Linked DNA regions of Arabidopsis thaliana. The protein of the gene in region 2 interacts with the protein of the main gene of each other region in a pairwise test. Each region holds a gene or a part of one and is shown on either strand. Other genes may lie near its edges.

The links.
Region 1: the proteins of EYA (region 2) and AT2G36340 interact in binary tests that used the Arabidopsis thaliana proteins (3 or more experiments, as listed by UniProt).

Annotation. Positions count from the first base shown.
Region 1 is NC_003071.7:15,233,517-15,238,422, reverse strand, and holds AT2G36340 (DNA-binding storekeeper protein-related transcriptional regulator), read right to left. Parts: upstream 2,937-4,906; 5' UTR 2,566-2,936; coding exon 2,347-2,565; intron 2,258-2,346; coding exon 1,970-2,257; intron 1,883-1,969; coding exon 1,745-1,882; intron 1,621-1,744; coding exon 1,513-1,620; intron 1,426-1,512; coding exon 934-1,425; 3' UTR 519-933; downstream 1-518. Other genes in the region: AT2G36330 (Uncharacterized protein family (UPF0497)), read right to left, coding at 3,125-3,319, 3,751-3,886, 4,283-4,803. UniProt on the Arabidopsis thaliana protein: Probable transcription factor. Involved in stress responses. Plays a repressive role in cell expansion by counteracting the positive role of CPR5 in this process, but does not regulate cell proliferation or endoreduplication.
Region 2 is NC_003071.7:14,866,049-14,870,907, forward strand, and holds EYA (eyes absent-like protein), read right to left. Parts: upstream 2,834-4,859; 5' UTR 2,717-2,833; intron 2,355-2,716; 5' UTR 2,340-2,354; coding exon 2,109-2,339; intron 2,013-2,108; coding exon 1,845-2,012; intron 1,766-1,844; coding exon 1,672-1,765; intron 1,592-1,671; coding exon 1,421-1,591; intron 1,286-1,420; coding exon 1,026-1,285; 3' UTR 784-1,025; downstream 1-783. Other genes in the region: AT2G35310 (Transcriptional factor B3 family protein), read left to right, coding at 1-40, 120-356; AT2G35330 (RING/U-box superfamily protein), read left to right, coding at 3,131-4,831. UniProt on the Arabidopsis thaliana protein: Possesses phosphatase activity toward para-nitrophenyl phosphate (pNPP) in vitro. Possesses phosphatase activity toward several phosphotyrosine-containing peptides in vitro, with low peptide substrate specificity.

The DNA.
Region 1 (4,906 bases), 370 kb from region 2:
CAAAGCAAAAAAAAAAAGCAGCCTCGAGATCCCAGATCTCATGAAGCTAACATAAACAGAATGCTAAGAACACTAGCTTAAGTAAAGATTCAACTTTTAATGGAAGATGTCAAAATCTTCAAATCCTTCTGAAGGAAGAGTCCCCAAATCTCATCAAAAGAAACAAATATCGAAAAATGCAGAAGCAAGTACAGATACAAAGACGTACCTAATAACATTAGGAGGCAAAATAAGCTTCTAGAGAGTGATTACAGAGCTCAAGAAGACTCCCAAAAGAAACCTAAAGCCTAAAGGCCTGAGCTTGAAGAGAATCTCTCACAGAGATAGAGTAAAAAAAAAAAATGGAAAAATTTTCTTTAAATTTGTCGGGGATTTTGGTGTTTAGTGTTTCGGTGTGATGATAAAGTTGAAATGTGAAAGTGTGGGACCCAAAGCATATGTTTTGGCTGAAAATTACGTCCAAATTCGTCGTTTCTTTTTTTATTTTCTTTTCGTCTTCATTACATTTCACATCAATCTCTTCTCCGATAATTGTTGTGTAATAAATATTTTGAGTTGATCTATGGTCTTCGTTGAGTGTGTAGTACAAAAATAATATCTAACACAAGGTGAAATTAGTGGCATGTGGCAAAATGCGAATCTTGGCTTTAAGTGCTTGTGTCTTTTTCTCGAAAGAGACAGACGCACAATAAGAAAAGAATGTTAGTGGGCCTGAACAATCGTTATCGAAGCCCAACCCAAAAGGAAGAGTCGAAACAAACACAACACTAAAAAAAGGAGAATCTGCTATGGTTAGCTCTAACTGTTACTTACCTCAGTTACCTGGCTCTAGAACAAGAACGGATCGTGGATACATCATGTTTTTTCTTATCAATATGACACAACCAAAAAAAAATGAGATCATTCCAAAAGCAGAGATTTTTCTTCATTGAATCAAGGAGAAACTCCTAAGTTTGCAAGCTTTGCGGCGAAAGTTAGTTTCTTGACACACAATCGCTGCTCATCAACAAACAATGCCTTCCATTCGTTGATGAGCTCTTTTCTTCTTTCAACTCCAACGTTTTCCAAATTCTGAAGCAGCAATTTTTGTTGATATCTACCTAAACTTTGAAAAAATGTATCCTCCTTAAATATCTCCTGGAGAACACCCAACTCAACCACATCATCTTCTTCACTCTTGTCTTTCACACCATTTTTACCTAAACCTTGAAACGATATCCCAGAATCAAGTGTGTCCTCCATAACACCTACCTCATCCACACCATCTTCTTCGCTACTCATCTCTTCCTCACCATTATCAATCTCGATACTCACCCGCTCTTGCTCCTCACAAGGCACATCCTTATTCTCTTGCTCCTCACAAGGTACATCCTTATCGCCTTTCTCCTCACAAAGCACATCCGTATTCTCTTGCTCCTCACAATCCTTACTCAAAACAAGAAACCAAGATCAATAAATCATGTTTTGAGGTGGTAATAAGAAGATCGGTAGAAACAGAACAAACACACTCACCATGGTTTGGTCCAATTTCTCTTTCTCACCATTATCAATCTCTATACTCACCCGCTCTTGCTCCACACAAGGCACATCCTCACTCTCTTGCTCCACACAAGGAACATCCTTATTCAAAACAAGAAAACAAGATCATTAATTCATTGCACATCATTAGTAACACAATTTTTTACATCATGTTTTAAGATGGTAACAAGGAGATTGGTAGAAAAAACAGAACTAACACACTCACCTTGGCTTGGTCCAATTTCTCTCTCACACCATTATCAATCTCGATATTCGCTCGCTCTTGCTCCTCACAAGGCACATCCCTATCGTCTTGCTCCTCACAAGGCACATCATTAGTCTCTGGCTCACCAGAAGGAACATCCTTATGCAAATCAAGAAAACAAGATCATTAATTCATTGCACATTAGTAGTCTAAGAGATTGTTGAAAAACAGAACAAAGACACTCACCTTAGCTTGGTCTATATTCTCATTAGAAACATACTCTGATTCATTCTTGTCCCATATGATCAATGACAATTTGAAGATTTCATCATCATCAGTATTAGTAAAAGAAAGTTGTTCCCCATGGTTAGATCTCCCCTGATTGTATGTAAACTTTCTCTTCATGTTCTTGACCTTATTGATGAGCTGAATCTTCGAAAACTTTGCTTCTACACAATCTTTGATATAACGGTACAAGGCATCCCAGTCAGATCTATAGCTCAATTTCGTTTCATTCTCATAGTCCACAATACCCTTTTACACACACACACAAAATAGAGTAAAAAAAGTTAGAAGAGGATAAAGAAGAATATAGAGAAGCTGCAAAGAATTTACTAACTAACCCCGAGAATGACAAGCTCATCGTTTTTAGACCAGTTCATCTTTGAAGCAGAGGAAGACAAGCTCAATGGTGTTGTCCTCGTCGTTGTTGTCCTCGTCGTTGTTGTCCTTAGTTGCTTTCTCCTACTGAGCATCGCCTCAACTTCAACCTCACGGTTCCTCGTGAGTGTGTCATCCGAGTTGGTGTCGATGGAATCAGCAACTCTCTTCGTACCAACCATTGATCGGTGATGAAAGATCAAAACTTTGTCAAGTTATATAAAACTCTCAGAAAGCTCAAAACCCTATTGTCAAACAGAGTCTCTCGAGTCTCTCTATTTAAAAACCCAGAGACGATACGAAGCAAAAGCACGATCAATCCTTTGGCGGCTATTGATATTCTCCAGGCGTAGGAACTAGGAAGTCCGAGTGTCGAAAACGTAAATGACTAAAATACCCTTTTCCATTTTTAAACATTGGGCTTGTGCAAGATGGTTTCTTCTTCCTTCTTCAGGGTTCAAGATGCACAATGGATAAGTCTGAGGTCTCATTTACAATCGAGGACACTCATATGGCTCAAGAGCTGAAAAGTTGTTGCCTTTTGCTCTGTCAGAGTCTTTATTTAGTTGGCTATAAAGACCCTTTTGACAACAGGATATGCCTCTCTTATTAACCTCATAGTTTTTGGAAACCTTTATATAGGCTACAAAAATAGTATAATAATTACAATGCTAAGATATATTGATCATTTTTATTATACATCACACAAGGAGTGTGGACCTATACAAAAAGGTGGGAGGATCAGAGAGAGCCTTGGTTAAATAGGTTATAGCCTGAAATGAGGGAACTGAAAGCAAAGGCAAGGAAGGCCAGGAAGGACATAGCAATCGAGGCACTTGCCATCTCTGTGAACTCGTCTTTTCCCCAGTTTGAAACCCAATCATCAACGCGAGTGACTGCTGCTGTTGAGGCAGACATAAGCAGATATGCAAGTACCTGATTGCACAAACAAAACAAACCTTTCTTATTCATAATTCCATCTGTTTTTACACATGCTTTTGAAATGTTTTGCAGGGGACGAAAGAGATTTCAATTATGTAATGAAGGGAGTAGTTTGGTCAAACAAGTATAACAGTCACTTTCACCATGTTTTCCGACCTATAAGATAAATCCCTTTCCACATATGCTATAAGCTAAAGCATAAAGAAAAAGAGTAACAATATTGGACTTTAACCACAAAGTGTTGTTCTTTGATTCACAGGAGACAGGGTAAATACCAGCAGATGGTGCAAGTCAAAGTATCAGGAATTATCTATAGCCAAGTTTTTCTCATCACCTAGATGCAACCACGTAGATCATACTTCATACAAGAACGAAAGTAACAAAGGAATACCATCGAGAGTACAGCATAAGTGTTAATGACTTGCCTGATCTATAATGAACTCAAACAGAGGTCGAAGGTGGTGGCTGATCAAATGCTTCTCTTTGACAAGATGGTACGCTAAGTCACATGCTTGAAAACTAGAATATACAAAAGCAACCACGTTCACAGACAGGCAAAACCTGTCACAGATATCAGAAGATGACACATAGATAAATCAGTTTAGTCTCAAAATCAAAAATCAAATCATACTAAACTGACTTCAAATGTTTGACCAAAACAACAAAATGGAAACTGCAAATGAATTCTTACGATCCAACAAATCAAAATCAATGTCAAAAGGAACAAACTTTACTTCTTTTAAGGACTTCACCAAGTTCAACCAAAACATAGACTTGGACCACGCAAGTGTTAAAGACAATTCACATGTACTAAAACTAAAGTAATCCAAATTTCTTATCAAAAAACCAACACTAGTGATACTGATAAAACCCTAAACCCTAAAATAAACCCTGAACCTAAATTCAAGAAACATCACTATCTGCGAAGAAATAAGCACAAACACAACAAATAATTACCTGTACTCCTTGTAACGATCGAAAGAATCACCACTCCAACCTTTAGTTTTATCAGCAGCCATAATTGAGAAAGATATCAAAGCCAACACAACCTCACTCAACCGAAACCCTAAAGCTGAAAACTTTACCACCTCTTCTCTCCTAGACCTTCTCAAAATAGCCGAAACAGCTCCAGATCGTTGGCCACTACTTCTCCCAGAACCAACTCTCGCACTCTTTCTCGTCGGAACCACTTCTTTCACAGAGCGATTGTGATTATGAACCACCACAATCGGAGATGGAGTTTCCTCAACCTTTCCAGGATTCTTGTTTCTTCTACTCTCGGGTTTACTTTTCGCATCTTCCTTCTCCGATTCACTGGAATGATCAAGAGAATGTGGCGGCGATGGAGAAGAAGAGAAGTGAGTAGTGGAGTTATCGAAAGCTACTATAGCCATTGAAGTATCTGACGGAGGTGGAGATTTCTCCGTGGAAACTGAAGAAGGTGACATCGACGGCATCGTCTTTGCTGGAGATCTCATCGGAAATATCAAACCTTTGTAACGAAATTTAAGGAATTTGACAACGCAAAATCGAATTTAGGAATAAGCGTTGAATTGAAGCGACAAAGAACAAAAGTGAAGT
Region 2 (4,859 bases):
ATTCTCCATGTTTATCAAAAAATCATACCTCATCTACATGGTAAGATAAGACAAACCAAGACACTAAACACTTAAATGGGCTTTGTTTTGTGAATCAAAACATTATTCTGATATTGCAGTGGTTCCCGAAATCTGTTCAAAGTATTCATATGCCGAAGCAGAGAACGATTTTCAAGATACATCACCCAAATATGAAGAAGTCATGGAATGTGGTTTACGTGGTGTCAGGGACGAAATCAAGCTTCTCTGCTGGATGGAAAGGTTTGGCTCAAGAATATCCTCTAGCAGTTGGAGACACTTGCAAGTTTTCATTCATCAAACAACACGAGCTGATTCTCTTTGTCTCAAAACCCTAAGAGGAGACTCACTAGTGAATAGTGATGATGAATGTGAAGGTGTCTACTGAGTAAAAGACTGTTTATCAGTGTTGTCTTAAGTTTTAGTTTTATGTTATGACTTAGTTCGGTTTTAAGTTCAGAATGTCTATCGGATGGATCTATGTAGCTTGATATGATTGGGACCAATTTTAATATGTTGTGTGTTTGTTGTTTCCGTTTGGCTTTACTTTGCTTTCTCTACTGAGGCAGATGTATTACAACTGTTCATCATCAAAAGATTCAGATCTGTATTATAGATTAAGTTCCTGAAAAACATGAACCAATCGAAACAATCAAGTTTCTCAGAAAAATTTGTGTCTCAAACAAGTTTACCTTGGTCCAAATTTCCGTTTTTGGTCTCTCTTCTTCTAAAGCCAAAGACACCAACCAACAAACTATAAGGATTAATAGTGAAGACTATTTGAAATTTTAACTCTTTCAGAGACCTAACATCAAAAGTCTGATATTGATGTTATGTTATAGGAAAGAGATGATTACACATTTGAACGAGCCAAGAGAACTGCTTAGTTATAAATACCAAATGCTGACTTAACTCAAGTCTATGAACAATGTTGGGTTTGAATATGAAAAGCCATGGCTTTTGTTGGGTTTACTTGCATATTTTACAAAGAAAAAGCTTTTTGAGAGTTACTCTTTGCTGGAATCAGCATCAGAGTTCCCATATACAGCAGCAAAGTAGTAGCTTACAGTCTTAGGTGTTAAGCCAGGGAATCTGTGGGAGCTATCCGGTTGCAAATCGATCTTAACGAATGGCCATTGCAAGGCTTGTGCGGCTGCACACTCTTCCCATCCGTCCCCGATCGCACAGAATCTGAATTTTGGGTGGTTGAAACGCTCCTTGATCCATTTGAAACATTGGAGCTTCCCCACATCTATTGAACTGTACACTGAAGAAAGGCAAAAAGAGTTAAATGATGTAGTTAACATAGAAATGCAAATGCATGACGGAGCTCGCAGAGTAGCAACAACTATGTGAATCCGAAGCTAAGATATCCCATTGAAGGAGATGTCTCCGAGCTTACCATTTTCATGTCTTAGGAATGTATCTAGCCGGAAAAGCAGGCATTTCACGAGGCTCGGTATGAGGGCCCCGGAAGTCACTAGAATATGTATATCCTGAGAGCTTTGTTCGATTGCACTTGTTCCATCACTAGACTCTTCCACACATGAACACTGCTCCAAGAAAGCCCTTGCTGCAATTAATACAATGTCATACTAAGCAGTGGACGCGATAAAGAAAATAACCAGAAGAAGCAGACAATTCGACATTTACCCGAAGAAAGCCACCGGTCTGTGTATTCATCAGTCACATTATACAACTCATCCAACCCACTCATCGATTCGCTGTCAATGAATGGACACAAACCCTGCAATTATAAAGAGATGACATTTGTACTTGAGTCATATAACATCAGCAACAAAAAACATGTAAAAACATATCAGTACCTTTTCGTATCTCTCCGCAACAGCTCGATGCCTGTACGCAAGTTTCCTCTTGTTCAAGTCATCAGTAGGAGTACTAAAGTCGTCTTGTTTGAACTCATACCGAGAAAGATCCTTTCCATCATCATACTGTCTCAATGAATCAAGAAATGGCTCATTGCATTCCTCAACCTGCAAAGAACACAAGACTAATGCTTTGTAGGTGACAGAGTTTACGAGGGCATCTCATCATTCCCGTTCTGAACTTATCGTTAAGAGAAGACTTACTTGCTCGTAGAAGAAAAAATCGTCACAGATCTTAAGTATGTGTTTCTCCCACATCCTCCCAATCTCTACACCTCTTTTAACATCTTTGGAGCCATTAAAAGACTCAGCATAAGTTCCATTTAACAGAGATCTAAGTAAGATAAGAGTCTCGTCCATGTCCCATACATATACATTCACTGGTCCATCATCAGAAACCAAAGTTCCCAGCTTTTTTGATGTATCATTATTCATAATCTGCCCTCTTCCCTGAATATAACAAGTTAAAACCAGAGATCACATCTTACATCAATCGACAAAAGGATTCAGTAGGAGCAACAAAATTGAGAATCGATGAGAACTCATTCACGGCATCTACATTGGCTACTAATTCAATGATGAAACAATCAGGAGCATGTGGATTGAATTGAGTTTCATGGCGGAAACAAAAGCGATAAAACTCCCAAAAAGAGCAAACTTTTCAGCAAACCCATGACTAATTTCACTAAACAAAACCTACGAAATTACGATTAACGATTCTAGGTGAATTTAATTTAACAAAAATGAGAACTTTCAGATCAAACGAGGATTGATAACAGATAACACAAAGTTCAAAACCTAAAAAACAATACCTGCGCTGCCGATTCCGATAGGAGGATGACCAAAGATAGAGAGCTCCGGAGCTAAGTGACGACGATGCGTGTGTTTCAAAGATCACAGACGAAAGTAAACAGCGAGCCACGCGGCGTCGTTTAGTATAATTTAGCTCTCGGCCCAATTAAAGGCCCATTATGTTCAACAGTCACACACACCACCAGAAACTGAAGAAAGCTTGTTTTTTTTCTCTTGCATGACCCTTCGCTTCTCTTCTCCTCTCTTCTCTACCGAAGTTTGATTCTTCTCAGCTGAGAAATACAACTGCCGATCAGTAAGTACTTCTAAACTCGTATCTATAATCTGTAAGATTGATTAATCATTTTGCCATCAATTAAAACCCATTTCTCCTGATCCTGCTTTGGTTTTTGTGTTTCATTTGTGGGGATTCAATGATCTTCACTCTTTCAATCTCTGTGGAATTTTTCTTTTCCTTCAGATTCTCATATATACATAGACGTGCTTTAACTCTGATGGGTTGTACTGTGAGGGAGAAGCATGTTAGACCAAACCGGAAGACCAGATCCGTGAAACCCGAATTCGATCCGTGTTGTTTGCTCGACAGGACGGCTCTATCGAAATCGATTGTTGAATCGAGTCTTAAGCATCTTGTTTATCATCCGGGTCTTCTCGATTCGTGTCCAGAGTCAAACCCTAGTGGCAGTTTTGAGGATAATAATGGTTGGGGTTATTGTACGGAGGAGCAATTAGAGGATATTTTGTTGAAACATTTGGAGTATTTATACAATGAAGCGATTTCGAAGCTTGTGGGTTCTGGTTATGATGAGGATGTGGCGTTGAGAGCTGTTCTTAGTAATGGGTATTGTTATGGTGGAATGGATGTTATGACTAATATTCTTCATAATTCGTTGGCTTATCTTAAGAGTAATACTGGTGAAGGTAGTAATGTGAACAATGAGGATCAATCAGAGACGGTTTTTACGGATTTGAGACAGTTGGAGGAGTATTCACTTGCGGGTATGGTTTATTTGTTGCAACAAGTTAAACCTAATTTGAGTAAAGGTGATGCAATGTGGTGTTTGCTAATGAGTGAGCTTCATGTTGGGAGGGCGAGTACTATGGATATACCGAGTTCTGGAAAAGGGGATAGTAGTAATGTAGGGGTTGGTGGTGCTAGTAGTACTGTAAATGGGGTTGGTGGTGCTATTGCTCCGGCATTGTGTAGATTCCATGGAGGTTGGGGTTTTGGTAATGGGAAAGGACCCAAGTTTTCTGGTAATGGGTTTTCTTTGCACAGTGAAGAGTTAACGTTGCAGAGAGAGATTGATTGTCCAAGGAGATTTAATCTCTCACCTTCGATGAAGTCTTTGTTGAGAGAGAATGTTGCAGCCTTTGCTGCTGGGTATCGTGCTAGTATGGAGCAAAAGAAGCAGGTGCAAATGCAGTCTGAAACTAGTGGTACTAGCTTGTCTTGCACGGCTGCTGCTACACATTCAGAGAAGTGTGAGCAGCCACATGTCTTCGGAAGTGAAGAATGTTTCAGTTCAGTGCTGGAGAAATTCCGGGATCTGAACCTTGATGACAATGTTGATTCGGCACCTGAGGAGCTGAAGGATGATGCTTTAATAGGACTACTTCAGCAGGTTCAGGATCTCAAAAAGCAATTGAAGGAGAGGAAAGACTGGGCTCAGAAGAAGGCAATGCAAGCTGCCCAAAAGGTCAGCGATGAACTGTCCGAGCTTAAATCGTTGAGGAGTGAGAGAGAGGAAATTCAGCGGGTGAAAAAGGGGAAACAAACTCGTGAGGACTCAACCTTGAAAAAATTATCAGAGATGGAAAATGCTCTTAGAAAAGCTAGCGGTCAAGTTGACAAGGCAAATGCGGTAGTAAGGGCACTTGAGAACGAAAGTGCAGAAATCCGGGCGGAAATGGAAGCTTCCAAATTAAGTGCATCAGAATCGCTCACGGCATGCATGGAGGCCTCGAAGAAAGAGAAAAAATGCTTAAAGAAACTACTGGCGTGGGAGAAGCAGAAAATGAAGTTGCAGGACGAGATTACAGCTGAGAAAGAGAAGATTAAGGCACTCAATAGAGCTTTAGCTCAGATCACTCAGGAAGAAAAAGAATATGAGGTACCAAGTAATGCATTATCTTCGTTTA